3 linked regions of the Ovis aries genome follow. The protein of the gene in region 1 interacts with the protein of each later gene in a pairwise test. Links are inferred from orthologs where the notes say so. Each region holds a gene or a part of one and is shown in the gene's direction. Other genes may lie near its edges. The genes, in order: CRX, PPP1R16B and QRICH1.

Region 1 (10,753 bases):
GAGCAGGGGCTACTCTTTGTTGAGATGCATGAGCTTCTCACTGCAGTGATTTCTCTTGATTTGAAGCACAAACTCTGGGGCAGGCAGTCTCAGTAGCTGTGACTCACGGGCTTGATTGCTCCAAGGCATGTAGAATCTTCCCAGATCAGGGATCGAACCTGTGTCTCTTGCACTGGCAGGCAGATTGCTATCCAACTGTGCTGCCAGGGAAGCCCTAGAAATGGATGCTTTTGTTCCAAGCTCTGCAAATTGTCCCTACAGGGCGAGTTCAGCAGGCTCCCTGTTTCCCTTTTCTCATGAGGGTCTGATGAAATATCATCAGTCCTTGGAGGAAAGGAAGGTGACCGAGGGGACCCAGGCTGGGAACTGGGAGAACAGGGCCTCCAGGAGGGTGGTCCCCACTCACAGCCTGAGCGAACCAGGCAAGTCCCAGCACCTGAGTCTGCAAATGTTCTCAGTGACAAAATATGAACGTAATAGTAATACTGTCTCTACGACCCAGGCTTGGGCTGAGGACTCTGCCATGTTGCATTGGGAAGTCTTGTGTATTAGTTATCTGTGGCTGTGTAATGAGTTAATACATATTTATGATGTTGTGTAGTTTCCTAAAGGAAATAAACCTTGATTATTCATTGGAAGGACTGATGTTGAAGCTGAAGCTCCAGTCCTTTGGCCACCTGATGTGAAGAGCCGACTCATTGGAAAAGACCCTGATGCTGGGAAAGATTGAAGGGAGGCGGAAAAAGGGGGCGACAGAGGACGAGATGGTTGGATGGTGTCACCGACTCAATGGACATGAGTTTGAGCAAGCTTTGGGAGATGGTGAAGGACAGGGAAGCCTGGTGTGCTACAGTCCATGGGGCCACAAAGAGTCAAACACGACTGAGTGACTGAACAACAGACAAAAGTTTCTGAGGTCACAGGAATCCAGGGACAGCATCGCTGGATGATTCCGGCTCAGGGTCTCTCGTTCTGTTGTAGTCGGATGTCAATCAGGGCTGCCGTCACTTGAAGGCTTGACTGAGGCTGGACAGTCAGATTCCTGGGGGTTCATTCCCATGGCCGTCGGCAGGAGGCCTCAGTTCTTGCCGTACAGACCTCGCCACAGGACTGTGCAAGCATGTTCGGCACAACAGCTGCTTTGCTAGAGAGAGAGAGGGCCGGCCTCAGAGGTCACACTGTCATCTCCACAATATCTCATTGGTTGCACACGCAGCCCTGCTCCATGGGAGGGACACCTCTAGGGTGTAAATACCAGTCATTACCTAGGACTCTTCTTGATTCTTAGGATTTATGTGTTACTTCTACTTTTATGATTAGTATCAACACCGAGCATCCCCGAGACCTTTCTATCAGGTCCCACCCGCTCTTAGTCCACTTTCCATCCCGATCACTCTGCCCCAGTAGCGCTGGACACCTTGGTTCTCCTCCCACGAGATGAAACGATTCCAGCCTCCAGCCCTTTGCACCTGCTGCTCCCTCCGCCTAGAGACCTCTGGCCCAAGATCCTCTCACAGCGGGTGCAGAGTCCTTCATTTTGCAGCCCCAAAGTCGCCTCCTTAGAGAGAGGTCTTCCCTGATCATGCTTCCCCAGAGCATGCTTGAGCAGTCCTGTGGTGAGGTCTGTGTGGCAAGAACTGAAGCCTCCTGCTAACACCCATAGGAATGAACCTCAAGGAATCTGACTGAGCAGCCTCAGTCAAGCCTTCAAGTGACGGCAGCCTTGATTGACATCTGACTTCCCTGATCATTCTCCTAAATCAGGAGATCTCCTAAATCAGGAGATCTCCTAAATCTCACCCTCGCCTCAAACCCCATCACTCTCTTATTTTGTTGTTCGTTGTTCAATCACTAAGTCGTGTCTGATTCTTTGTGGCCCCATGGACTGCAGCACGCCAGGCTTCCCTGTCCTTCACCATCTCACGGAGCTTGCTCAAACTCATGACGGTTGGTGATGCCATCCAACCATCTCATCCTCTGTCTTCCCTTTCTCCTCCTGCCTTCAATCTTTCCCAGCATTGGGGTTTTTTCCAATGAGTTGATTCTTCTCACCAGGTGGCCAAAGTATGGGAGCTTCAGCTTCAGCATTAGCTCTTTCAATGAATATTCAGGGTTGATTCCCTTTAGAACTGACTCATTTGATCTCCTTGCTGTCCAAGGGACTCTCAAGAATCTTCTCTAGCAACACAGTTTGAAAGCAAATCAGCCTTCTTTATGGCCCAAACTCTCACATCTGTACATGACTGCCAGAAAAACCATAGCTTTGACTACGTGGACCTTTGTTGGCAAAGTGATGTCTCTGCTTTTGAATACGCCATCTGGATTTGTCATAGCTTTCCTTCCAAGGAGCAAGCATCTTTTAATTTCTTACTACCCCATTTAATTTTCCTTGGAGTTCTTGAAACTCTCTGGAAGCATTTTGAGTTTCTTAAGAAAAGCCTATTTCCTTGTTCAATGTTTGTTTCCCTGATCAGAACCTCAAATTTCAATTCCGTGAGAGCAGAGATGCTGTGTGTCTTATTTCTTATTGTCTCCCTAGACCTTACAGCATGATTTATTTTCAGAAAATATTTGCTGAGTGGATAGCAGAGCTTCAATTTATGATAAATGAAACTCTCGCAAATGAGGGTTGAGAAGGACAGGGCAGTGAGAGAAGGATGAGGTGGGCGCTCACATAAACACTATCCAACTGTAAGCGTTTATTTATTTTGCAAATATTTATTGGGGATGCTGGGGACACCCCAGGGACTAAAATGTTCCTAGTCTCCATCCTCAGGTAGCTGGATCAGGGGAGACAGACAGGCAAACATATTTATAAATATGTCGTATTTAGTACGTGTGATTCCTGAAGATCAGGAGAAAGCGTGTGTGTGTGTGTGTGTGTGTGTGTGACATCCTGTTTAGGGTGTGGGCTGGCTCTCCTGGGAAATTATGTTTGAGCTGTGTCCTGGAGGAGGAGAAGGGGTTAGTTCGCTGGTGAGAGGGGGTTTGGGGCTGAGAGAGAGGCATTCCTAGCCCAGAACAGTTATTGGAAGTTTCTGGAGAGGCTGAGAGGTCTCCTGAGGTCATCTTAACTAGGGCGATAGGGAGCCCTGGAGAATGTCTCTCTCTGTTTTAAATAGCTGGTATTGTTGGTTTTGTTGTTGAAAGGGCAATTTACACACACGTGGTTAAAAAGTAACCCAAGCTGTGAAACAAGATATGGATACAACACAGCTCCTCGGAGGCAGCCACTGTTTCCGTATATTGTGTCCTTGGGAATGTTCTATGCAACAGGAATGCGTAAATGTATGTACATATGCTGCGCTCAGTTGCTTCAGTCGTGTCCTACTCTCTGCAACCCCATGGACCGTAGCCCGCCAGGCTCCTCTGTCCATGGGATTCTCTAGGCAAGATTACTGGAGTGGGCTGCCATTTCCTCCTCCAGGGGATCTTCCCCACCCAGGGGTTGAACCTGTGTCTCCTGCATTAGCCGGCTGATTCTTTCACCGCTGAGTCACCAGGGAAGCCCATAACTTGGTAAAATATGATATCTAACACACAGACAACCCCCCCCCCCCCCCCCGTATTTCCAAAATGTAATAAAAAAATTAAAAACCTGACTCTTAGGCACATGTAATAAGCCAAAAACAAAGATTTAAGTCTTGAACTGGCTGTTTCCAAGGAGAATTCAAGGAAGAGAGGTTAATACTGTTACTCAGAAAAGGTGTGCTGAAAAGAGCTGGTTAGGTTAGGTACAAAACCAGTCCAAGTTCTACAGGCAGCAAAACTGTAACCCTGCGGTTATCTTTTCTAACCAGAGACAAATCATGGCCAACCAAACATCTGAAAGTTGCCATTGAACTTGTCAGTGTCCGGATCCTAGTCAATAGTGAAGAATCAGTTGAACAAGGGTCCAGTCCCCTAGAAAAGGAACTAATGCTTGGCTTGGTTGTCTAGATAACCAGGAAGTGACTTGCTGTCGACCATTTGTCTCATTGCTAAGTTTAGGGTAATCTTTTTTAAAAATTTATTTATTCGGCTGTGCTGGGTTTTAGTTGCAGCCCACTGGCTCCAGAGCACGTGGGCTCAGTAGCTGACGGGCTCAGGCTGCCTTGCCCCACAGCATGTGGGATCTTAGTTCCCCGACCAGGGATCGAACCCACATCCCCTGCATCGGAAGGTGGATTCTTAACCACTGGACCACCAGGGAAGTCCCAGGATAAGCTTTCCTTAACTATATGCTAGAGGTCGCTTCAAGTCCATTCACAGAGAATTATAGTTTTTAATGACTTTATAGTACTCTCTTGCCCGGATGTGCCATAATCGTAACATAACTTACTTAAATTCCATAACTTACTTACTATGTCTCCTTTGGTGGATGTATAGGGTGCTTCCACATTGCGGCAATTATAAATATGCTGCATTAAAAATCCTAGCTTGGGTGGGGAGGGGTAAATTAGGAGTTTGGGATTGACAGAAACGCACTATGATATATAAAGGAGAGAAACAGCAAAGACCTACTGTATGGCGCAGGGAACTCTATTCACGCTCTGGTAATAACCTGTAGTGAAAACTAACGTTAAAGAAATACAGAACTGAATCACTTTGCTGCGTACCAGAAACTAACACGACATTGTAAGTGAACTATACTCCAATAAGAAGTATCCGAGCATAAAGTCTGTGCAAACGTCTGCTTGCAGATAATAATAACCACCACAGGTTTGTAGCATTTGCTGCGAGTCAGGTGCTATTTTAAGTATCAGATGCACAATAATTCATTTGACCCTCACATCGACCTAAAGATGTAAGCTGTATTGTTGGTTCCCATCTTCTGATGAGGTGGCTGAGGCACCTTGAAGGTGAATTGCTGGGACCAAGGAAAGACGGCATTTTTCTTTGATAAATGTTTGCAGTTTGTTCCATCCACACTGTCGCCCGTCTGACACAAGTAGCCTGTTCTGAGGCCATCCCTGGAGTTACCAAGCCTCTTTGATCTTTGCCAACTTGATGGGGTCAAAAATAGTCATGGGAGATCATTACTTGCTGTCATTTGACTGTGACTCCCTTGGGGTCACTAACCATCCTGATTTGTCTGGGAGTTTTCAGATTTGTCACTGAAATCCCATACCCCTAGAAAGCTCTCTATCCCCGGCAGACTGAGACAACCAGTTTCCCTACTTTGCCATGATTCTGTGTGAGGCTGAACATCTTTTTTGAGGTCCTAGGGGTTGGGAAGATCTCCTGGAGAAGGCCACGGCAACCCGCTCTAGTGTTCTTGCCTGGACAATCCCATGGACAGAGGAGCCTGGAGGGCTACAGTCCACGTGTTGCAAAGAGCCGGACACGACTGAGTGACTGACGCTAACACACGGGGTGGGGGAAAGGTCTTGGACAAGGGAGTTGGTCAGAAGATCTTTTAAAGGATAGAGTAGGAATAGGAGCTTACATTTAGAATGCTCCTTACAGCTTTTGATCTTGGCTTTATAGAGTCCCAGTGATGCTTTGACGACCTTAAGCAGAGGGCTGTTTTATAGGTGAGGAAACCCAGGCACAGACTGGGGGGATAAGTTGCCCAAGGTCACATATCTAGGAAGAGACTGAGGCGGTGATGAACTGGGGAGTTTGTGAGCACCCATCCTTTTCTCGCAGGCCCCCTGACCTGGGCCCCAGCATCCCCGAAGATCATGATGGCGTATATGAACCCGGGGCCCCACTATTCCGTCAACGCCTTGGCCCTGAGTGGCCCCAGTGTGGATCTGATGCACCCAGCTGTGTCCTACCCAAGTGAGTACAGTCATCCTCCCTGCCCCCCCACCCCCTGCTGGCCCCCACCTTCTGGAGTCCCTTGCCCTCAGGAAGCGGATGGGTACTTACAAGGATGACATCAGGGCCATACACCAGCCAAACGGGCTCATCTGTAAATGCAAAGCACACCCCACATCTCTTAGGGATGCAGGAGAGCGTGTGGATCTTCATAGAAATTTAGGACAGTGGTTCCCTTTCGGGTGAGGGAGGGAAACCATCTGGAAGGGGGACCCAGAGGAATTCCCATCTGTCAGCGATGCTTTATTTCTTAGCGAAGGAAGCGTTCTATTTTTGATGGTATTATCCTTTTGTTAAGTTGACCATTACGGTCCTGCCTCTTTTATAGGCTGGATATCCCCAAACGGCTGGATATCCCAAATGTCATGTTTCAAGTGAATGTCTTAGTGCAGAAGGAATTTTAGAAAGGGGATGAAAACCAAACTCAGATACCTCCTTACACAGGTAAAGCCAGTTCTCCTCGGGGCGAGGCAAGAGTCCCCCCTAAGGATACGCAAAGGGAGAACCCGTTTCCCAGGGGGACAGAGTGAGGTCTAGAAGTTGAGGGAATCAGCACCCCCTTAGTTTGGGCAGATGAACGCCCAGAAGAGGCTTGTTAGCATCCCATGCCTTCTCAGGACCTTGCGTCAGCAGATGCAGAGAATGGGGTCTCAGGTCACCCAGCAGTCCTGTTTTTCTGTCCTCACCCCAGGCGCCCCGAGAAAGCAACGGCGGGAACGGACCACCTTCACGCGAAGCCAGCTGGAAGAGCTGGAAGCCCTGTTTGCCAAGACTCAGTACCCGGATGTGTATGCCCGTGAGGAGGTGGCTCTGAAGATCAACCTGCCTGAGTCCAGGGTTCAGGTGGGGTGTTCTGGTCCCTGGGATCCAGAGCGGAGGAAAGAGGGAGAGGTCACAGAGGAAGGGCTGAAGTGTCCTGTTAATCTCTCATCCCCGTAATTTCGCTGGCTTCCTATCTGGCATGCCTATCCCCTCTCATTCTACTCCATGAGCACTGCCCCAGTCCTTCCTTCAGCATTCCCACCAAGAACACTCTTTGTTCCCTCTACCCGGAAGATATATTCCCTACACCCTGTTCAAGTCTTTGTTTATCAACCAATCTAGTCACCTTGCCAGTCAATGAGACCTCCACCGCCCTTGGCATTAGAAGCTGCAGCTTTTTCCCGCCATCCCAACTCTGCTACTCCCCCTCACTCTGCTCAATTGGTCCTCCCATAGCATTTATCACTTTCTAAAATTCTATGTGATTTCCTTCCTTACTATTTATTTATATGCTGTCTCTCTCAAGACTTCCCTGGTGGCTCAGATAGTAAAGCGTCTGCCTACAATGCGGGAGACCCAGGTTCAATCCCTGGGTCGGGAAGATCCCTTGGAGAAGGAAATGACCACCCACTCCAGTATTCTTGCCTGGAAAATCCCATGGACGAAAGAGCCTGGTAGGCTACAGTCCATGGGGTTGCAAAGAGTCAGACACGACTGAGCAACTTTCTTTCTTTCATTCTCTCAAGTAGAATGTCAGCTTCATTGGTGTGTCCCCAAAGGAGTAGAAGAATACATGTTTATTAAATAACTGAACGGATGGATGGATGGATGGATGCATGGATGGGTAAATGTATATGTGTGTTTGATTGTATATATGTATGATGCATATATGATTGTATATATGGATGTGTATGTGTTTGTATGATAATGTGTGTACATATGTACATAAGATCGGAAAGATGAAAGTATGTATCATTGTATGTGAGGTGAAAGTGTCAGCCTCTCAATCATGTCGGACTCTGCGATCCCACTGACTGTAGCCCACCAGGCTCCTCTGTCCATGGAATTCTCCAGGCAAGAACACTGGAGTGGGTAGCCATTCCCTTGACCAAAGCCGGGTCTTCTGCATTGCGGGCAGATTCCTTATCATCCGAGCCCCCAGGGAAGCCCATTATTGTGTGTATATACTTACAACTGTGCTTAGGCATGACTGTTATGTGTGTGCTTATGATTGGCTGGTGAATGTGCGTAGGTATGACTGTATGTCTGCATGCATATATGAATGATTCGGTGGACAGATGAATGTATAGGAGTATATTTGTATGTTACATGATAGTAGGTATGTACATATGATTGGCTGGAAGAATGTGGATATATGTGTGTGACCATGTGTGTGCCCGCAAATGTATGCATGTACAATCGTGTGCATTGTATATGATGGTGTATGTGTGGCTGTACAATCGTGTAGATAAATAGTTGGGTGGGTGGTGGATGAATAGAGTGCCCCATGTTGCTGTGTAGCTGCTCAGTCGTGTCTGACTCTCTGTGACCCCATGGACTGTAGCCCACCAGGCTCCTCTGTCCAAGGGATTTCCCAGGCAAGAATGCTGGAGTGGGTTGCCATTTCCTTCTCTAGGGAATCTTCCCGACCCAGGAATTAAACTCACGTTTCCTGCCTTGGCAGGCGGATTCTTCACCCCTGAGCCCCCTGGGAAGCCCCCTGAGTGCCCCACAGCCGATTGCAAAGTAGAGAGTTATGACTCTGGCATGCTTCACCGATAGGCATCACCACTCCTGGGCATCACGAAGGCTCCCCTGGGCCTCCTGCCCACTCTCCCTCCCTCATCTCCCCTCTCGCCCCCCAGGTTTGGTTCAAGAACCGCCGGGCTAAATGTCGGCAGCAGCGGCAGCAGCAGAAACAGCAGCAGCAGCCCCCAGGGGCACAAGCCAAGGCTCGTCCTGCCAAGAGGAAGGCAGGCACATCTCCAAGGTCCTCCACGGATGTCTGTCCAGACCCCCTGGGCATCTCAGATTCCTACAGCCCCCCTCTGCCTGGGCCCTCGAGCTCCCCCACCACGGCAGTGGCCACGGTGTCCATTTGGAGTCCGGCCTCCGAGTCCCCTTTGCCCGAGGCGCAGCGGGCAGGGCTAGTGGCCTCGGGCCCCTCTCTGACCTCAGCGCCCTACGCCATGACCTACGCCCCCGCCTCTGCTTTCTGCTCTTCTCCCTCAGCCTATGGGTCGCCGAGCTCCTATTTCAGTGGCCTGGACCCCTACCTGTCTCCCATGGTGCCCCCATTGGGGGGCCCGGCCCTCAGCCCCCTTTCAGGCCCCTCCGTGGGGCCCTCCCTGACCCAGTCCCCCACCTCCCTGTCAGGCCAGAGCTATGGCACCTACAGCCCTGTGGACAGCTTAGAATTCAAGGACCCCACAGGCACCTGGAAATTCACCTACAACCCCATGGACCCCCTGGACTACAAGGATCAGAGTGCCTGGAAGTTTCAGATCTTGTAGAAGACCCTCCTCTCTCCATCTCTTGTCCCTTCTGCACATTGTCCCGACCTGCCCTGGGACAGCATCCCGGGGGAGGTGGCAGGAGTCCCTCCGAAGGTCGTGGCCTCTTTGGCTCCCGTGACCAACACAGTCCACCCCTTTCCTCCTGGGGAGCTCGATAGGTGTTAGTCATCCTCTCAACCCCAAGGTGGTCTCATACGGAGTCCAACCGGCATTTCAAACCATGAGCCCCAGACTCCAGAAACTGGTGCTGAGAATCCGCCCTGAGATGAAATTAAACCAACCTTGCAGTTGACCTGGGGTCGTGTTTAGGTCAGAAAATCACAGTGCTGTTGAACAAACAGGTCGGGAGGCTTGATTCCTTAACTTTCCATTTGGGGACACTTCTTTAGCTCATGGGTAGAGATCCTTCTAGAAATCCCAAAGACAGACTTTACGGAGCCCCAGGATGGAACCTTTAGGCCAGCTATACTGTTAAGTTCAGAAATTCATTTGGCAGTTTTCCAGATTTCGCAGATGTCAGGTCTGCATGATAGGTTTAGGGGGCTACACACACACACACACACACACACACACACACACACACACACACACACACACTTTCTACTTGTTGTTAGTTTCTTCTTAAAGCCACTTCATCGTTCGCTTATTCATGACACTGGAAATGGGCATATCTGGTGGGAGAATGGAAGGCAAGTTGCCTGTTTCACGTCTCCTTCGTTTTCTTTCGTTTTAGCGTTTTTTAAAAGGTGAACTTCACCCAAACACTGGAAGAATCTCGGTTGCTGCTTGGGGTACACCAGCTATGATTGTGGCTATTTCCAAGAGAAGAAGAGGTTGGACAGGCTTCCCACCTGTAAATATATAAGAGGCAGGGGTGGGGCAAAAGAAATAGATTTGGGGGCAGCCCCACATCCCACACTCACACTCCCGCTTTTAGAGGTTTTGTTTTCAGTTTCGATTGTGGGGTTGGACTGTACATAGAGACTGGCCTGGGAAATTTTCCGGGGGCAACGCTGTATTTCTTTGAATACAGTCTGACCCATGGCCGCAGAGACAAGCAGTGTAAGAATCTGAAGAAGGATGCAGGCATTCCAACACTCTTGGAAGTTTGGTACTTTGACACCTACTTTCTCAATCTGAGTTCTTTTATTTTGGGGTGGGGGAGGCAGGAGCCACGAGCCACTCACTGGTGGGTTTCACAAGGCCAGGGGTGAAAGAAAGTAGTGTGGGAGAGAAGTGGTATGCTGGGAGGTGTTTAACAACAGGCTCTGGAAGGAAGAGGAAATCCTGGTTTGTCATTGTTACCCATTTCTGTGGTGTAAATACTCCCACTGTGGCTGATGTCAAGGCATCAGGCTGAGGTCCCTGAACTTAGGAAGAGACACTCACAGTCTGTGCTCACTAGCCAGGACAAGCTGGCTCCAGGCCCCCAGGGCGGAAAGCAAGGTCAGGAGGAGGGGCATGATGCAAAGTGAGACTGGGTGGCATCAGATGATGCCAGGTCAGGAGGAACCATGAGCGGCACCCTGAGATCACTAGAGCCCCCAAAGGTGTCTCTCCTGGGTCTGAGTCATGCTGGGACATTAGACCCAGCATCCACGGTGGGAAGCAATATCTAAACAGAGAAAGACAACATATATTGACATACGGGATGGATGTCAATCCACCGA
Region 2 (9,994 bases), on another chromosome or scaffold:
ATATAGTTGCTTTATAATATACTAGTTTCAGGTATATGACACAGTGATTCAATATTTTTTATAGATTATACTCCATTAAAAATTATTACAAGATAATGGCTATATTTTCTTGTGCTGTACAACATACTTTGCTTATTTGTTTTAGTAGTTTGTGCCTCTCAGTCCTCTACCCCCATCTTTCCCCTCCCCCTTCCCTCTCTCTGTTAGTGAGTCTGTTTCTGTTTTGTTACATACATTCGTTTGTTTTTTAAATTCACATGTAAGTGATAACACAGAGCATTTGTCTTTGTCTTCTTTCATGAAACATAAGGCCCTCTTGGTCCACATGTGTTGCTGCAAATGCCATTATGTCATCCTTTTATATGGCTGAGTAGTATTCCATTGCCTGTATATACCATACCTTCTTTATCCATTCATCTGTTGACAGACACTCAGGTTGCTTCCATATCTTGACAATTGTAAATGATGCTGCTATGAACACTGGGGTGCCTGTATCTTTTTGAATTAGTGTTTTCATTTTCTTTGGATATATATCCAGCAGTGGAAGTAGTTCTCTTTTTTAGGTTTTTGTGCCTCCTGCTCTTTTCTAAGGAAGGGGTCCCTGCTCAGCCCAGCACTCAAGAGTTGAGTCAGGTAGTTGGATTGAACGCTGCATGAAGACTGGACGAAGTTTTGGCCAGGCTGTGCCAGGACACTGCCCGCCCTGGATGGGGCTCCGTTGGGTCTGTGGCTCAGCCCTGTAGACACAGGGGTCTGCTCCTCTTGGGCTGGCCTCAGAGCGGCTTCACTCACATGGCTGGGCACACACTAGGTCTCAGTTCTTCCCAGTGAAGCAGGGAGGCGTACCTTCCCCAGGGGGCTGTTGGGAGGACTAAATGAGATTCTGCATGTAGCTGCTCAGCACAGAGCCTGTAAACTCTCAATAGATTCTGGTGATTAACTCATTATTATTATTAACATGATCACTTCTATTTATATAATAAATAGCAAGGTCCTACTGTGTAGCACAGAGAACTATATTCAATGTAATTATAGTTGTAATCCTCTGTAATGGGAAAGGAAATCTGGGAAAAAATATATGCAGGTGAATAACTGAATTGCTTTGCTATATACCTGAAACATTGTAAATCAACTATACTTTAGTAAAACAAAAAATCAAAAAACCCACCAATATCACTCTCCCAGTCATAACTTTTTATTCCCAGCTATGTATGTGGCCCTACAGTTTTTAATGTCTGGCTGGCTGTGTGTCATTCTTAATAGCTGGCAAGCATCAAACATTTATAAATCAGATAGTGATACCAGTTTTCATGTGTGCCTGTTCCAGATCATACCCTGTTTTTTTTTTTTCTTTCTGAAAATTAAAAAAAAGAAAAAAACCCAAAACCTCTGTTTGCCAGAAACTTATAGCAACCTGACCCCCGGATGACGCGGCATCTGGCCATTAGGGCTGTGTTCTGTTGGACCTCTGAGACCCCATCTACAGGGCTCAGTGCATAGTAAGCACTCAGTAAATGCTGATGCCTTAACGACAGGGGCTTGAAGACGGAAGAGAAGCCCCTTCTCCCTTACCTTCCTTTTCCATACTGCAGACTTACTAATGCTCTGTCACGTGGCTGGTATCTTCACCTCCTTCTATTCCATTCTACGGCCCTAAATATGATCTGGGCCTTGAGCCGGGGAATGGGCTCTCCTGCTTCCAAATGAGGGACCAGCCCCCGTGGGGAGTGCTGACCCCTTTCCTCTCCTTCAGCTGCACATAGCTGGAGCCAACGGATACCTGCGGGCAGCCGAGCTCCTCCTGGACCATGGTGTACGCGTGGATGTGAAGGACTGGGATGGCTGGGAGCCCCTGCATGCGGCTGCCTTCTGGGGACAGGTAGTTGTCACCCACAGTGCTGTAAGAGAGGCCAGCTTATGGCCAACCTGCTGACCTTTGGGCTGGGAGTTGGTTCAGAACACCCGACCCATTTAGGGTGTTGACTACAGCTAGCGTGTAGGATGTGAAAAGACCTACGGAGTTTACAAAAAGGATTGTCAAGTTGTGTCCTAACAAGATGACAATCCAATTTGCCAAATTAGAAAATTTCCCACATTTCTGTCTTGAGTTTTTCCACTTGTTTCCCAGATAGAAATCTCTGTAGCTTTCGCCATTCCTCTTTAAACACTTGACAGCTCTGGAGTTATAGCTGACTCCTTCTGTCCCTCGGTATGGCTGAGTCATGCTGGAGGAGGTGTCAAGCCTATTGCATTTGCCGGAGTTCCCGGCTTTAGGGAGCAGAGCCTTCCCTGGGAGTCAGCTTTGCCCTACCATTCTTTGGATCACATCCTAAGAAGCTTTGAACTCTCACTCTCTCCGACTCCTAGGCTTTCTCAGCTGTGGGCAGGGGGGAACCCGGGCTTCTTCCTGTGTTTCAGATGCAGATGGCAGAGCTGTTGGTGTCCCATGGGGCCAGTCTCAGTGCTAGGACATCCATGGATGAGATGCCAATTGGTAAGTTCAGAAGGACCACGCCTGCACTCATTGATTTTTTTGATGAGTGGAGGATAAATGGTTGAATATATGGTTGGATAGATGGTAGATGGATAGTTTGATGAATAAATTAATGGGTGGTAGATTAATGGATGGATAACTGGGTAAATGTATGGATGAATGAATTAAGAGGATGGGTGGGCAGAGGATGAATCTATGGATGACTGGTTCAGCGAATAGGTAGACAGATGAACTAAAGGATGAGAGGGACTGAGTGGGTGGGGATATATGATTTCAGGCTCTTTTCATAATGTCTTGCTTGGGCTCTGTGGGGTACCTTCTGGTTTCTCTTGATATATTTTCTATCAGTGGAGAATTGATGACTCCTCTTGGAAGCGATCAAAGGTGTATGAATCCTTCAGTCATATCTGTGAATTGGGACTGTGCATGGGACCTGGGGTTTCCTCTTCTTACACTCCTCTAAGGATTGGGTTGTAGCCCAGGAAATAAGGCTGGCACTGCTTTCTTCCCTCCAACCACACCCCAGAAGATGTGAATTTTCAGTGGGTCTGGGGGGCCCTCGGGGATCACCAGCCCCTTCTCTGCCCCCTACCATGGACTCCTCCACCCTTTCAGACCTGTGTGAAGAGGAGGAGTTCAAAGTCCTGCTGTTGGAGCTGAAACACAAGCATGATGTGATCATGAAGTCGCAGCTGAGGCATAAATCATCTTTGAGCAGGAGGACGTCCAGCGCGGGCAGCCGAGGGTGAGCTGGGGGCGGGACAGCCAGGGGCGCCCAAGGATGCTCCTGCCCATGGAGCCTGGAAGCAGCCTCCCAGTACCCCCCTCTCCCCTTAGGAAGGTGGTACGTCGAGCCAGCCTGTCCGACAGGACCAACCTGTACAGGAAGGAGTATGAGGGAGAGGCTATACTCTGGCAGCAGCGGAGTGCATCCGAGGATCAGCGGAACTCCACCTACAACGGGGACATCAGGGAGACCAGGACAGACCAAGAGAATAAGGACCCGGTGAGAGCTTGCCTCCCACCCAGCCCCAGTGAGCACTGCCGTGGGAGGGGAACGGCTGGAACCCCAGCCTGGCGTTGCTTCTTTATTTCAGAGCCTTCGGAGGGAGGTCAGCTGGCCATCGCCCTTAAACCAGCTGGGTCCTGTCTGAGGGGGTGCCTACCATGGTTATTGAGGCAAGTGTAGGACGTGTTCACGTCAGAGCTGGGTGATTGGCACACAGTAGGGGCTCATAACTGCCAGGGAGTGAGTGATCACCATGTGCCTGCTTGAGCTCCAGCAGAAGAGAGATTTTATTCTGGCTTCCCAGAGGAAAAGGTTCAGTAGGGCGGCCACTCTGGGAGAGAAGGGTGTTAAAACTTTTTTAGGGGAAACCTAACAAGATGTTGAGAATTGTGTTGAGATATCGGGTTGGAAGAAAATTTTTGAAAAATATAGGGGCTGGCTATAGAACGTCTAAGAAGCTGGCTCTAGGAGTAGATAATGATCTGGGCATTAAACCGCTTTCCTAAGATGCTGTATTGTTTTCTGAGAACTGTTGTAATGAATTACCGCAAACTAGGTGGCTTGAAGCGAGAGAAATGTCTTTTCTCCCAGTTCTGGAAACCAGAAGTCTAAAACTCAAGTTGTCTACAGGCTTGGTTCCTTCTGGATATCGGAAGGGGCCTCTGTTCCATGCCTGTCTCCTAGCTTCTGACATCTTGGGCATTCCTTGGCTTTTTGCTATCGTGCCTCCAATCTCTGCCTCTGTCTCCATGTGGCCTTCATTGTGTACGGGTCTGTCTCTATTTTCTCTTAGAAAGACACCAGTCATTGGATTAGGGCCCACCCTCGTCCAGTGTGACCTCATCTTAATGTAACTGATTACACGTGTGAAGACTCTACTTCCAAATAGGGTCACACTCAGAGATGTGGGGTGGATGTGAGTTTCGGGGGGACACTATTTGACTCAGTACAGATGCATTCAGGCCCGTGCCTGGCTGCAGTCTTGCTGAGTAGAATATGCAAGTTTGGGGCCAGAGCAGAACTACTGGGCACAAGAAGGAAGGGGCTGACCATACCAGCAGTGGTGTACCTTTGTGGTTCTACCATCACACAAAGAGCAGCTGAAAACATTTCTAGTTCCTGTTGCTTGGGGGGATGCAAAATGTCTCAGTGGGACCCTGCTTCCCTGTGTGAACAAGGAGGTCATGTGAGGGCTTGTCTTGCCGGCAGGAGTGAAGGCATCTGCTCTAAAGAATCTCCATTGTGAGAGGAGTTTGGAGGAGAATAGATCCATGTATATGTCTAGCTGAGTTCCTTTGCCGCCCACCTGAAACTGTCACAATATTGTTAATCAACTATACTCCAATATAAAATAAAAAGAGTAAAAACAAAAAGAGGGACTTACCTGGTGGTCCAAGGGCTAAGACTCCTTGCTCCCAGTGCAAGGGACCTGGGTTTGATCCCTGATCAGGGGATAAACCACAGCTAAAGACCCAGCGCAGCCAAATAAATGTTAAAAAGAAAAAAGATTCGATGCCAAGTGGTTTTTTTTAAAAGAGAGAATCCCCACTGAAACGCCGATTGGGATGGAGCCCGCACACTCGGAGCTTTTGTTCTGCCCCTGCCCACCTAAGCTTGGGGGTTAGGAAAGAAGAGCTGTAGATTGGAATCAAATCCCATTTCAGATGCTTCCCCGATATGCTTTAATTCTCTTTTCTTTGTGATTGAGGTGTAGCTTCTATAACCTACAGAAATCTTAAACGAATTTGTCAATGACCTCTTTCCAATGAGTACACGCATTTCTGTCACCCCAGAAAGCTCCTACGTTCCCTTTTCCAGGCAGCCCTTCTACCCCACAGATATGAGTGTGTGCTTAGTCACTTCAGTCGTGTTCAACTCTTTGGGACCCCATGGACTGTACAGCTCTCCAGGCTCCTCTGTCCGTGGGGATTCTTCAGGCAAGAATACTGGAGTGGGTTGCCATGCCCTCCTCTAGGGGATCTTCCCAACACAAGGTTTGAACCCAGATCTCCCGCATTGCAGGCAGATTCTTTACTGTCTGAGTCACCAGGGAAGCCCAGCTCAACCTGGTGCTCTGTGATAATCTAGAGGGGTAGGATGGGGGGTAGGGTGGGAGGGAATTTCAAGGGGGTGGGGCTATATGCATACCTATGGCTGATTCATGTTGATGTCTGGCAGAAACCAACCCAACATAGTAAAGCAATTATCCTCCAATTAAAAGAGAAATGCAGGTTCTCAGGCCCCACACGAGATAGACTGAATCATAAACCCTGGGGCTGGGACTCAGCACTCTGTGTTTTAACCAGCCCTCCAGAGGATTCAGATGCATGCAAGAATTTGAGAACCACTGATCTAAGGGTGTGTTTGCTCAGCCTGACTCCCAAGTCAGATTTCTGACAGAACTCTGCACTGATAGCCCCCAGGGCTGGCTGTGGTACCCACTTTTGGCAGAGCTGACTCCCTGATAGCAGGCACAGCCGTGATAAGACAACCCTGTCTCTTCAACCAGTGGTTCATGATCTAAATTGTACAAGAAAATCACCTTGGGGAGGTGTTTTGTTTTTGTTTTTAAAAAACTTGATGTCCGGACTATAATCTCAGTTAATTAAATCAGTCTCCAGGCTTCGGACTCAGGCATTGTATTTGTTCATTTATTTATTTATTAACAAATAGGCTTTATTTTTTTGGTTTATTTCTAGGTTTACAGAAAAATAAGTGGGGGGACTTCCCTGGGGTCCAGTGTTTTAGCTCTGTGCTTCCACTGCAGGGGGCAGGGACTGGGGGACTAAGATCCCACGTGCTGTCCTGTGGCCAAAAAAAGTTTTTTGTGTGTCTTTTGACCTTGTTTATAGTGATTTTTGGTATGCTTTATATTTTTGTTACTGTCAATGTATCCACCTTTTCCTTAGAGTTTCTAGGTAGCACCTCCTTTTAAAGCTCTTGTTACCCAGGGATTTCTGGGTGTAAAAGATCTCTGAGTAAGAACCTCTCCCATTTGGAGAAGAGCTATCCCAGGAATATAGGGAGAGGATTCTCAGTGACCAAAAAGCCCAACTAAGATTGACTTACAGACGCAAAAAGAATGCACTGGCTTGGTTAACTGGAAAGTCTGGGCCAACTGGATGCGGGGGCTCAGAACATATCATCAGGGGACTTCCCTGGCAGTCCAGTGGTTCAGCCTTCACCTTCCAATGCAGCGGGTCTGGGTTAAATCCCTGGTCAGGAAGATAAGATCCCGCATGCCTCGAGGACAAAAATCTAAAACATAGAAACAGAAGCAATGTTGTAATAAATGCAGTAGAGACTTTTAAAATGGTCCACATAAAAAAAAATCTTTAAAAAAGAAAACGTATCACGAGGGTGCAGTGTCTCTGTCTCATGCTCTCTCTTCCTTAATGTTGGTTTCACAGCCAAGCAGACCTTTTAACGCACTGTCTCCCCAGTTTATGATTCTCACCCCTGCAGTTCCTATAGAAACAGAGCTGCTCTTCCCCAGTTTTTCTAGTTTTTCTAGTAAGTCCCAGGGTTGAGTTTCATGGAACCAATTTCTGAACCCATTCCTGAACCAATTCCAATAGTGAGTTTATTGATTGGCCAGGTCCTGGGGTTATGGTTTATCTCCTGGAGCAAAGATGGGAGTCAGTTGGGTCTGTCAAAACCCACAACTGGTGAGACTCCCCAAAGGAAAACGGAGGTCTTATTACCCAGGTAGGGAAAATGGAAGAGGATGGTTTCAAGCAATCATGCCCTCAGTAGAGGCGCAAGCAGGGTTGGGGTTCAGATCCCCCAGCCGGCTGATGATGATGTCCTTCTCGCCCTCAGAACCCCAGGCTGGAGAAGCCCGTGCTGCTCTCCGAGTTTCCCACCAAGATCCCACGCAGCGACATGGACGTGCCTGTTGAGAATGGCCTCCGGGCTCCGGTCAGCACCTACCAGTATGCGCTGTCCAACGGGGACGTCTGGAAAGTGCACGAGGTGCCCGACTACAGCATGGCCTATGGCAACCCTGGCGTGGCCGATGCCACCCCGTCCTGGAGTGGCTACAAGGAACAGAGCCCCCAGACGCTTCTGGAGCTGAAGAGGCAGCGGGCTGCGGCCAAGCTGCTCAGCCATCCCTTCCTGAGCACCCACCTGGGCAGCGGCATGTCCAGGACGGGCGAGGGCAGCAGTGAAGGCAAGGCCCCCTTGATTGGAGGCAGAACTTCTCCGTACAGTAGCAACGGGACCTCGGTGTATTACACGGTCACCAGTGGAGACCCCCCACTCCTGAAGTTCAAGGCCCCCATAGAGGAGATGGAGGAGAAGGTCCATGGCTGCTGCCGCATCTCCTAGTCTCTGTGGGATGGAGGAGAGAGATGCGCGGGGAGAGGGACCCTGGAGTCCAGGCCAGCCCAGCAGCCCTGGCTGGGGGCGGGCAGCTGGGGCGGGAAGGGGGAGCTGGGCTCTGCGTTCCAGAGGAACTCAGAACCCACCTCTCAGCCAGCTGCCCATAGCATCACCACTTCCCATGGTTCTGCTTCTTGCCGCATTGTCTGCCATCAAAAACAAGGCCCCTCGTGGCTTCCTGTCTCATCCTGCTGTCAGATTTTGGGAGGGCGAGTTGGGATTCTAGTTCTGCTGTTGGTCAAGGCTTCTCTGGACCAGTACTCACACGTCACATATCAACACACAGACACACACACTCACACTCAGTCAACATGTGCAGGGATGACACAGCTGGGCTCATGGGAAGCAGGTGGGACTGAAAATTTGTGAGCTCTTCCTAAGAGGACTAAGGTTAAGATTCAGTTTTATCACCACTGCCAACGTGGCTTTAGCAGGGGAGGGAGCCTGCTAACCTGAGACCCGTCATCTTGCCTGGAGTCCTACAACAACTTGGTATTGTCATCTCCATCTGGTGGGAGCAGGAGGTCTTCTATGTTTAGAGGGAGCTATGGTAAAGAATCTGCCTGCGATGCAGGAGATGGGGGTTCGATCCCAGGGTTCAAAAGATTCCCCAGAGAAGGGAATGGCAACCCACTCCAGTATTCTTGCCTGGAGAATTCCATGGACAGAGGAGCCTGGTGGGCTGCAGTTCATGGGGTTGCAAAAAGTCAGACACAACTGAGCAACCAACACTTTCACTCTGATGCACCCACAGTGGGTGGATGAGGTGGGTGTAGACCTGCCCCCCACATCCTTGCCCATGCCCAGAGCCAGCTATGTAAGCACCCAGGGGCCAAGGTGGAACACCAGGTAATTCTGCGCCTGGAGTAATCCAAATCTATTTTGCTCTTGGACGGAAGCTTCAAAATGTGACAAGGAGAGGGAACAAAGGTAGCATTTTTAAAAGTGTGTTGGATAAAATAATTCTTTTAGACTGTAAAACTCCAGGTTGCGGAGGGGGATCGCTGAATTAGCTTTCTTTCACAGACAGTATCATGATGACTAGGTTGTACTGACTGGTATTGAAAAAAAGGGAAGCTAAGGGAGAAGCTTCAGTTGGAAGGGCTTTTCCAGGGAGAGAGTGAGTTCATGTTTTTAATTTTTGCAGACATCTCTGTTCAGCATAACAGAGCCCAGTGCCCTGGCCGAGCTTTGTGACTGGTCAGATGGTTTCAGTCCAGCCTGTCTTCCCCAGTCCTCCTCAGACTGAACTATCAGACTGAGCACTGAGGGGCTGCTGTGGCCCCCACCTCTCCCAGAGTGAATGTTCAGGACTCCCGGCCCAGCTTTGCTCTTTTAGGGATGCCCGGTGATGTGGGTTTGCAGGTTGGCTCTTGTGAGCTCCTGTCTGGCCCAGGGGCTGCTATCCTGCTCTGGCCCAAGCCTGCGGATCTGAGGTGCCCATCTGTGTTCCAGCATCACGCACTGCATTCAAGTGGTGGTGCTGGAGTTGGGTCTTGCGCCAGCTTTACAGTTTCATGGCCCCCAATCTTTCTGATGCTGGGGAGGGAAGAATACGAGGGACAGGATGTCTGCCTCCTCCCCACTGCATCCTCTCATGAGCCCTTTGAAATTGTTGCCCACGAGTTGGACGCTGTCCACGGGCTTGGCCAAAACCTACTGGTGTAACTAACTAGCTGCAGGTCTGTTTCCTGCTCCGTGCGCCTTTTACTTGTCCTAAAACTACCTCTTTAGAGCTCTGAAGGAGGCCCCTGAGGTCCAGATTCGGAAATCTGGGGGACAAATCTGGGTTCCCTTTAACCCTTTTCTTCCTGAACCTATGAGAAATTCTCCCTGCGAGACATCTGGGCCAGAGGTTGGGGCTGGCGGGGGCCCCTTGTGCCACAGTGCTAGTAAGGGGGTCTGCTGTCTGACCCAGTCCTCCACTGTGGCCCCCAGGGCTCTTGTAGCCCAGAGGCAGAGCTGGATCCCAAGGGCTCTGGCTGATGCTTCACCAGGTGCAGGGCAGCTGGACCGGAGAGCAGGGGCCTCAGGAGTCACTTCGCCCCTGGTGGCTCCTGGATGCAGGGAGAGTCACAGCATCAGACTTCCCACCCCAATTTCAG
Region 3 (8,960 bases), on another chromosome or scaffold:
CAGGAGCACGGATGGCAGGAAAGTGTATCTCTTGGCTCTGGGCATGTGGGCGCTCCATCTGAAATAGTGTGCTGGATCCAAGACAAGAGGCAGGCTGGACCTGCTATAAACGAGCAGGATTTGTGGGGTGTGCCCAAGATCAGAGACTTCTGGGAGGAGATAGGAGCTGGTGAGTGTTCTTAGGGCGCCTCTTACTTAGCATTATCCTCATATACTTCCTCGTATTACAGAGGGTGGGTTTTGTGTTTTTGCTTTCATTTCGTGGCCCTAATAATTGGGGGATATGTGAGATGGGACGGGAACCCTTTTAGTAACAGGGCAAACAGGATTATTGTCTTTGTAGGTTAGTTTTGATCACAGATTCAAGTGATTGTTTTCACCCCAGCGCCTTGATGGGTGGTGGTGTCTGCTCTGTAACCTCCTTCCAGGGATATGAGAAACCAGTAAGGAAATGACTGTTGCCAGGACCCTCACTGACCTTTGGGACTTATGTTGTAGGGCGTCAGTTGCTACGATTCCAGGAAGATCTCATCTCCTCTGCTGTGGCTGAGTTGAATTATGGGCTCTGTCTGATGACACGGGAAGCTCGAAATGGAGAAGGTGACCCCTATGACCCAGATGTGCTGTACTACATTTTCCTGTGTATTCAAAAGGTAGGGAACCGAGCTGCGTAGGAACCTGTTTGCCTTGTGTTCCCATTGGGTATTTGCTGCGTAGTCAAATTAGTAATATGTCAAAAGTGGTAACAGTAAAGATACTCTCTTCCAACTATATAATGAGGTTTTAAATGTACATTTTTTAAAAGTTGGAAATGTTTTTAAATGTACATTTTATTTTTAAATTGGAAAAGATCTACATGTTCACTTTAGAAAATCAGATAATAAAATAATCCCTCAATCTAGAGAAATGTTTGTTAAAATATATGATATATTACATTAGAGACTTTTTAAAAAAAATTATGAAACATTTATGTAACACTTTTTGTTAAAGTAAACATCTAGTTTTCAGAAAAGCAATTTTTCCAGAACAGTCTGGTGCTGACATATAGTTCATTTTCTCATTGTTTCCTGCATTAATGCAAAATAATTATTTGAAAGAGTCTAGCTAAAATATACAACTGTAGTTAGGTTTTCAGGATATCTAAGATGAAGATGAACAGGGAGATTCATTTTAGGACCAGCAGTTTCAGAGACCAGATGGGGATTTCCTGGTGTTTGAATGCTATTGTAGAGAAGCCCGTGGTGTGATGGAAGAACACTTGCTGACTGGGACTCACCCTGTTGCTTGGGCCCGAGAAAAACCCATCTCCCATTTTGTTAGTCTGTTTTAGCAGTCACTGGGAGCACTGGGTGAATTAGTGTATGTGCTTTGTCTCATTCCATGCTCTCTCACTCATGCAAGGCAGGCATAGTCATCTCCAGTTACACACAAGGACACTGAGCCCCCAAAGTTACAAGACTCAAATGAGTTACATAACTTACACCGTAGCTGGTAAGAGACTGGCCCTGGAGCCTGCATCATGCTTTTTTGCTACCATAAGACAGTGCCTTGCTTGGGTGAAGTAGCATTCATGAAATCTGCTCCATTGGCCAACTCTCAAGAGTGTTGTGAGAGTTAGTTCCCATCCTGAAGTATGCTGTGGAAGTGCCGCGCACTGGGCGGTTTTGACTCAGTGTGCTGGTTGGTTAATGGGGGACGAACGGGTAGGGAGATGTGAGGGTACTGCTCGTAATTGTTTGCTTCCCTCAGCATCTTGTCAAGAGTCTACCAACAGCTTTTATTGATTATTTTCCTTTTAGTATCTTTTTGAGAACGGACGGGTTGATGACATTTTCTCCGATCTTTATTATGTTCGATTCACGGAGTGGCTGCATGAAGTTCTGAAGGACGTTCAGCCCCGAGTCACTCCACTTGGTAAGAATCTTCCTAGTCCTTGGATGTCTTTTGAACCTGGGTTTAAAAAAGATAAGCTGCTTGTGTGGCTTGCTGTGATAATAGCATGTGGGTGAGGAGGCTGTAAATCGCAGGCCCCAGCGTCGGTCTCTGTGCTGCTTGGCTCAGTATGGAGGGGCATGGCTCACCAGAGCTGTTTATTATAATTTTTTAAAATAATATATTCTTTAAGAGCAGTTTTAGGTTTACAGGAAAACTAAGTGGAATATACAAGGAATTCCATGTATTCCATCACACTGTGTCTCCCCTGTTATTAGTATCTTGTATTAGTGTAGTATATTTGTTAACATCGAGGAGCCAGTATTTGATACCTTGTTGTTAACTTAAGTCTGTAGTTTACATTAGAGTTCTGTTGTATATTTTGTGGCTTTTGACAGTGTATAATATGTACCTACAATTCAGTATCACATACAAGTTTTGCTGCCCTCAGATCCCCAGGGTTCCACTTAATTCGTCCCTCCCTTTATCCCCCTGAATCTCTGGCAACCTCTGATCTGTTTTACTGTCTCCATAGTTTTGCCTTATTCAGAATGTCATATAGTTAGAATACTTTAGTATTAATTTCTTTCACTTAGCAATATACGTTTAATGTTCCTGCATGTCTTTTCATGGCTTGATAGCTCATTTCTTTTTATTGCTGAGTAGTAGTCCATTTTATGAATGTGCCACAGTTTGTTTATCTGTTCACCAATTAAAGGACATTTTGGTTGCTTCCATGTTTTGGCAGTTTATAAATAAAGCAGCTGTAAACACTGTGTGCAGGTCTTTGGTGAAAGAACAGACAGATCCATGGGACAGAGTATAGAGTCCAGAAGTAAAGCCCCATGAGTGTAATGAATTTATCTTTGACTAAGGGGCAAAGGCAGTTAAATGGAGAAAGGATAGTCCTTTTTTCTTTTTCTCTGTTTTTTGGCTTTACTCTGCGGCTCATGGGATCTTAGTTCCCTGACCAGGGATTCAACCCGGGCCATGTAGTGAAAGTGTCGAGTCCTAACCACTGAACCTCCAGGAAATTCCCAGGATGGTCTTTTCAAGTAACACTGCTGGAACAGCTGGACAACCACACATTGAAAAAAAAAAAAAAAGAATCATAGACCCAAATGTAAAACTATAAAACTCCTAGAAGGTAAAATAGAAACTCTAGGTGACGTTAGGTCTGGTGGTAACTTTCTAGGTACAACATAAAAAGAATAATGTATGAAAGGAAAAAAATTGGTAAGTTGGACTTTATTAAAAATTAAAAAGCAAAAACTTATGCTCTCTGAAAGGCATTATTAAGAGAATGAAAGACAAGCCACAAACTGGGAGGAAATCTTGACAAAACACATACCAGACAAAGGGCTGATATCCAAAATTTATAAAGAACTTTTAACAGTCAACAATAACAAAGAAAGAACCTTTACCTGTTTTTTAATCTGAACACATGATTCACCAAAGAAGGTGGCAGATAAGTATATGAAAAGATATATATCATCAGTCAGTTGTAAATTAAAACAGCAGTGATGGGAGTTCCCTGGTGGCCTGATGGTTAGGTTTCGATGCTTTCACTGCTGTGGCCTGGGTTCAGTCTCTGGTCGGGGAACTGAGATTCAGCAAGTGGCTTGCATAAATATTGATACATATGTGCATGCATACATGGATACAGTGATATAACATTATATGCCTGTTAGAACGGCTGAATTCCCAAACATGTTACCTTAGGATGCACCAGTCATGCTTCTTCTTCTTTACCCAGATGACGTAAAAACTTATGTCCACACAAATATCTGAGTTCTAATCCTGGCTCTGCCATTTAATGAAATGTATACTGACTGAGATAAAATTGGCGTAGCAGTTTCAGGTGTAGAACAGTGACTTGATACAGTTGGTGTATACTGTGAAAGGATTTAGTCTAGTTATCATCTGTCATCGTGATTACTGCTTAAGTGTTAAAGTATCATTTAAACAAATGCCTTTTGAGTGCCTACTGTGTGCCAGGCAGTTCCAAGTGTAGATTATACAATTCAGTAGTGAAAAAATGGAAGTTTACAGTCTAATATGGGGAGACTGTATAAATAATCAAGTTAATTTATGATAATTAAGTACTTCGAAGGACAAAGCACAGAGAATGGAAAGTGTTAAGGGTGTTAGGAAGGAAGCGTCTCTAAGGAGATATCATTAGAACAAACACCTGAGTAAGTGAATTTCTGTACATGATTTGCGGATTTTCAGACCAAGTGTGGCTGTATAAAATTGGCTTTTTTTAAAGTTTTGTTAAGGAAATTTCAAGCACATATAAAAATAAGCAGAACAGAATAATGGCATTCCCACATACCCATGGCAAATCTCGTTCCATTTATACGTTATCTGTTTATCCCTCCCGTATCATTTTGAGGTAAGTCCTAGACACTGTATCCATAAATATTTTAGCATAAAATTGATGTAACACAATGCCATTATTTTACTTTTTTAGAAAAAGAATAGTCACAATGTCATCAAAATCTGCCCTTTTTCACATTTCCAGTTGTCCCATAAATGTCACTTTTTTTTGGTTGAGTCAAGGTGCAAATAAGGTCCACACATTGAAATTGCATAGATATCTTTTAATGTTTAATCTTAATTTAAGTAACTTTTAATTAAATTCAAAAATAAACGTATTTTTCTTGCAGTTTATTTATGGAAGAAATGAGGCTTTTAAATTATTACAGTCTAATTTTTGCTATTAATATCTCCATGCTGTAATTTAACATACTCTTCTGTCCCCTGTATTTACAGTTTATTGGTAGTTGCATATAAAGACTTGCTAAATCGGGTTTTGGTTTTTCTGTGTGTTTTCTTCTTGGCAGGGTTACATCATAGGTGGGTGCCCATGATGTCTGGATCCGTTAGTTCATTAGGAGTTGCAAGCATTGGCATTCTGATGTTATTACTTCTTTATTAGCTGAAATACAAAGAGAAAATTTCCCTCATCAGCTCTTTGATTTCCTAGCAGTAGAGATTATATAAAAGAAGCAGGATGAGGGCTTATTTCTTCTCCTTTGTTTAGCAGCTTTGACAGTAATGAGTTGGTTTACCAGCTTCAGCTGGGGTTTCTTTTGTTTGTTTGTTTAAAGAATCATTGTGAGCAAGTTAATTTAAACATATTTAATGATTCAGTTCATTGTACTTAGTATCTTTAATGGTGTACAAATTGTTCTGTCTAGCCATATGGAGCCTGTTTAAATTGGCTCTTAAGTCTGTTTGGCATGACCCTACTTCCTTGATTTCTGGTTCACCAAAAATGTTCCAGGCTTATCCTGGCCATTTTCTGTCTCCCAGTGTAGACTCAATCAGCTCTCCATGGAGGCTGGTTCCTTTCAGTGTTAAATGGTATTTCATTACCACCATCTGGGTGGTAGGGATGTTCATTGCTTCTTGGGTTGGTCATAGTTTCTAGGCAGAACTACAAAAATAAATATAAAATAGAACATTTTGATACTTCACAGTTCAGATTCAGAACTATGAGGCTTTTATATGTTGTTTCTATGTGTAACTCCTGTTGCCCACGCTAGGAGTTCTGATTTTCAGATACTGCAGTTCACTTTAAGTTGCGCTGTTAAGAAGTGATTAAAGGTAGGGAAGTGACAAGGTGGCAGAGAGAACCCAGAGAAAATAGAGCAATCCTAAATGTATGCCTGGACCATTCCTAGGGCTAGCCTTCCCCAAGGAGAGCATCTTCTGTCACTCATCCTGCTTAAGATTTGTCTGAGACTAAGGAAGATCCCCTGGAGAAGGAAGTGGCAGTCCTCTCCAGTATTCTTGCCTGGGAGATCCCATGCACCGAGGAGCCTGGTGGGCTACAGTCCTTGGGGTCGCAGAGTCGGACACGACTTCATGACTAAACAGCAGCAGCGAGGAAGTTTATCTTATTGCCATTGGGCCACAGAATAAAAGAGCAGAGGCAGACAAGCCCTAAAGAGGTGGAAGAGTACTAATGAAATCAGAGGGCCAGCTTTGTCAAGACCAGAGAAAAGGAATGTATTGGGCAGAAAATGTTTTCCCCTGCTTCTAGAAAGTGCCACCCTTGCTTCCTGCCTGGAGAATCCTGAAACTCCTGTAGGAGAATGCTGGTGTTTGCTGCTATTTCACCATGTCCTCAGTGCCCGGTACATACACACTTGGGTATTGACTGTTTTATGAACACATGATGGGGGCTTGGTGATCAACTTGTGTTATCTTTGGTATAGACCTGTGTGTCCAGAGCTCTTGATGAAACCACTGCCTTTGTCCCTGTCCAGCTTTCAGTTAGCTCCTGAAAGTAAAACCTACCCTGTGGGGGAAAGCTATCAGGGATCTGAATATCATTCTCCTCTATTTCCAGAGGGGGATGAGAATGGATGACATAGAGGTTTAACAAAGACAAACAGGGGCATGTATACCAGTTCTCTGGGCCCTGGTCTAGACACCTTGGAAGCTATGATGAAAGCTCTGTATGCTCTTTTCAGAGAAGTTTGCATATGTGCAGAGGTTGATTTATACTTTGGGGTGTTGCAAGCTCTCTGAGGGATGTCCTTTTACCTGATATTAACCTGGGATTAGAGGAAGAATTAACATCCAGTGAGAGCGATAATGGAGGGCCGGGGTTCTCAAAGTGTAGTGTTAGGAACTTGTTGAAAACACACATTTTCGGGTCCTCCCCCAGAACCTTGGGTTGGGACTCAGCTGTTTGTGTTTTAATAAGCTTTCCAGATGATTCTGCTATATCCCAGGAAGCCTTCTCCAGTGAAACTTGTACTCCCATGTAGTGCTTGCTGTGCCTCATGCCTCCCATCCTGCCATCCTCTTGTTGTAGCAGTACTCTATTCCTCCTAGGCTATGTCCTGCCCAGCCACGTGACTGAGGAGATGCTGTGGGAGTGCAAGCAGCTCGGGGCTCACTCCCCTTCCACACTGCTGACCACCCTCATGTTCTTTAACACCAAGTAAGTGTTCCAGAGGCTCCATGCTTAGCCACTGCTGGGATCCGCCCAGTGAAGAGGGTAGAAACTATCCAGATGGACTTCTGAGATCCTTTGACATGCTTGAGAGCCTTTGGGCTAGTGAAGCCCTCCACCCCACTTGGCTACATTTTGTGTGGCGACCAGTAAGGCAGACAGCCTTGCCAGGTCCCTCCCATTAGTCTTTATGAAACTCCTCCACTGGACAGTGTATTTGGGTGTGGGCCTGCCCAGATTCTGGGAGTGTGGGCAGCGGCTCCTCTGAAGCAGCGATGGCGGAGGGTAAGTCATGGTCTCCTCCTGGCACCCCTCCCTTTGCCTTGCTTTCGCTTGTGGTGCAGATACTTCCTGTTGAAGACAGTGGACCAGCACATGAAGCTGGCCTTCTCCAAGGTCTTACGACAGACAAAGAAGAACCCCTCTAATCCCAAGGATAAAAGCACGAGTATTCGGTACCTGAAGGCACTTGGGATACACCAGACTGGCCAGAAAGGTAGGGAAGGAGGCAGGGGTTGCAGAAAGAGGTGCTACTAGTTCTGCCCAGCCTTCATGCCTGGGGGGCTAGTGACAAGTGTGAGGATGGGGATTTGCGGATAGGAATGCTCCCTTCCCTTCTCCCTAGTCGCTGATTTCAAACTCTTCTAGAAGCAGAGATGCCCCAGAAATGATAGCTGCCTTTTCCTTTCATATTCACCGCTCATGCCTCATACCCTTTTCTTTCCTAGTTGGGATGGCTGAAAGCCTGAGGTTCCTAATCTGAGCCTAAGTAAAGGCAGTCTGATGCCGTGTCTGTGGTGGGGGGTATGTTTTATAGTTACAGATGACATGTATGCAGAGCAGACGGAAAATCCAGAGAACCCACTGAGATGCCCAATCAAGCTCTACGATTTCTACCTCTTTAAATGGTGAGGAGGCTGTGTGACTAGGGGTGTGGGTGTGGGTATCTGCGCGCCTGTGTGTGTGTGCATGTGTGTATCTGCGCGTGGGTGTGTGCGTGGCACGCGTGCTCACAGAAGCATTCTCAGTTCCCCAGGCTAAGTAAAAGCAGATTTCCAAAAGGCTAAATATAGAAGCACACTTACTGGTTTTCCCAAAGCATGTGCCCAGGGCTCCTCCCTGATGGTGCACTTTGATGGAGAGGGGGTGAAGGTCAAGGGAGGAAGGTACAGAGAGGCCGCCTCTGTCACATATAGAGCGTATAGCACTGTGTTTTCCTGGTCTTGACCTTTGGTCACTACACCGTAGGTCTAGGGGAGATCCTCTCCTTGGCTTTTGCTCTCTCTTGCTTCTGCAGTTGGGCATATCATCCTCACAACACTGCCAGCAGATCTTTCAACATGGTAGGTCTTACTTTGTTACTTAGATGAAAACCTTCAGTGGTTTCCTTTTATTCTACAAAGAAAGACAGTAATTACTGCCCTAATTACCAACAGGGCCTTTCAAGCACGCTCCCTTGCTAACCTCTTGTTCTCATAGCTCTTGGCTCTCTAGTTACACTGCTTTTCTCTACTAAAGGGTATCTTACTCTCCCTTCCTCAAGACCTATGCTGCCACCCCCACGTGTTTGGTCATTTAGCTCCTATTCATCCTAACCATTCTTCCTAAAAGAACTTTATCAGAGAAGGATTTCCAGATTCCCTGCCTGTTCCCTCTGGCTGTTTATTCTGTAGCCCTTTCCAGTGCTTTTGTTATTTTGTCTTTATGTAACTGTTTTGACTGCTGTTTGTCTCCCCTCTTACCTGTGAGGTTCATTATAGAGGGACTCTTGGGTCTTATTCACTTCTTTTAGTATCAGCACCTAGTGCAGGCCTGGCACACAGTAGCCCTTTGATAAACTTTGAATCAGTGGATGAATAACTGTTAGAGGATGGCATATGATAAGTACTTAGAGAAGTACAGCACAACATTGAGGGTGGGCGTGAGTGCAGGTAGAGGCCGCAGCATCACAGCAAGCGGAGAAGTCAGGCAAATGAAGTTGAGAAATTACCAATGGGTGGGGTAGAAGAAACAGCATAAGCAAAGACTTGGAGATAGATAGGTGGTGGAACTGGTT

The links.
Region 2: the proteins of CRX (region 1) and PPP1R16B interact in binary tests that used the Homo sapiens proteins (3 or more experiments, as listed by UniProt). The two-hybrid records come from large-scale screens. The link is inferred for Ovis aries from reciprocal best matches to the Homo sapiens genes CRX and PPP1R16B.
Region 3: the proteins of CRX (region 1) and QRICH1 interact in binary tests that used the Homo sapiens proteins (3 or more experiments, as listed by UniProt). The two-hybrid records come from large-scale screens. The link is inferred for Ovis aries from reciprocal best matches to the Homo sapiens genes CRX and QRICH1.

What each region holds. Positions count from the first base shown.
Region 1 is NC_056067.1:54,468,561-54,479,313, forward strand, and holds CRX (cone-rod homeobox protein), read left to right. Parts: upstream 1-5,627; 5' UTR 5,628-5,666; coding exon 5,667-5,766; intron 5,767-6,496; coding exon 6,497-6,648; intron 6,649-8,432; coding exon 8,433-9,080; downstream 9,081-10,753. UniProt on the Homo sapiens protein: Transcription factor that binds and transactivates the sequence 5'-TAATC[CA]-3' which is found upstream of several photoreceptor-specific genes, including the opsin genes.
Region 2 is NC_056066.1:67,711,287-67,721,280, forward strand, and holds part of PPP1R16B (protein phosphatase 1 regulatory inhibitor subunit 16B), read left to right. Parts: intron 1-1,753; coding exon 1,754-1,879; intron 1,880-2,418; coding exon 2,419-2,494; intron 2,495-3,109; coding exon 3,110-3,239; intron 3,240-3,331; coding exon 3,332-3,500; intron 3,501-7,325; coding exon 7,326-7,835; 3' UTR 7,836-9,994. UniProt on the Homo sapiens protein: Regulator of protein phosphatase 1 (PP1) that acts as a positive regulator of pulmonary endothelial cell (EC) barrier function. Involved in the regulation of the PI3K/AKT signaling pathway, angiogenesis and endothelial cell proliferation.
Region 3 is NC_056072.1:50,998,261-51,007,220, forward strand, and holds part of QRICH1 (transcriptional regulator QRICH1), read left to right. Parts: intron 1-498; coding exon 499-653; intron 654-1,799; coding exon 1,800-1,914; intron 1,915-6,783; coding exon 6,784-6,892; intron 6,893-7,248; coding exon 7,249-7,400; intron 7,401-7,721; coding exon 7,722-7,812; intron 7,813-8,960. UniProt on the Homo sapiens protein: Transcriptional regulator that acts as a mediator of the integrated stress response (ISR) through transcriptional control of protein homeostasis under conditions of ER stress.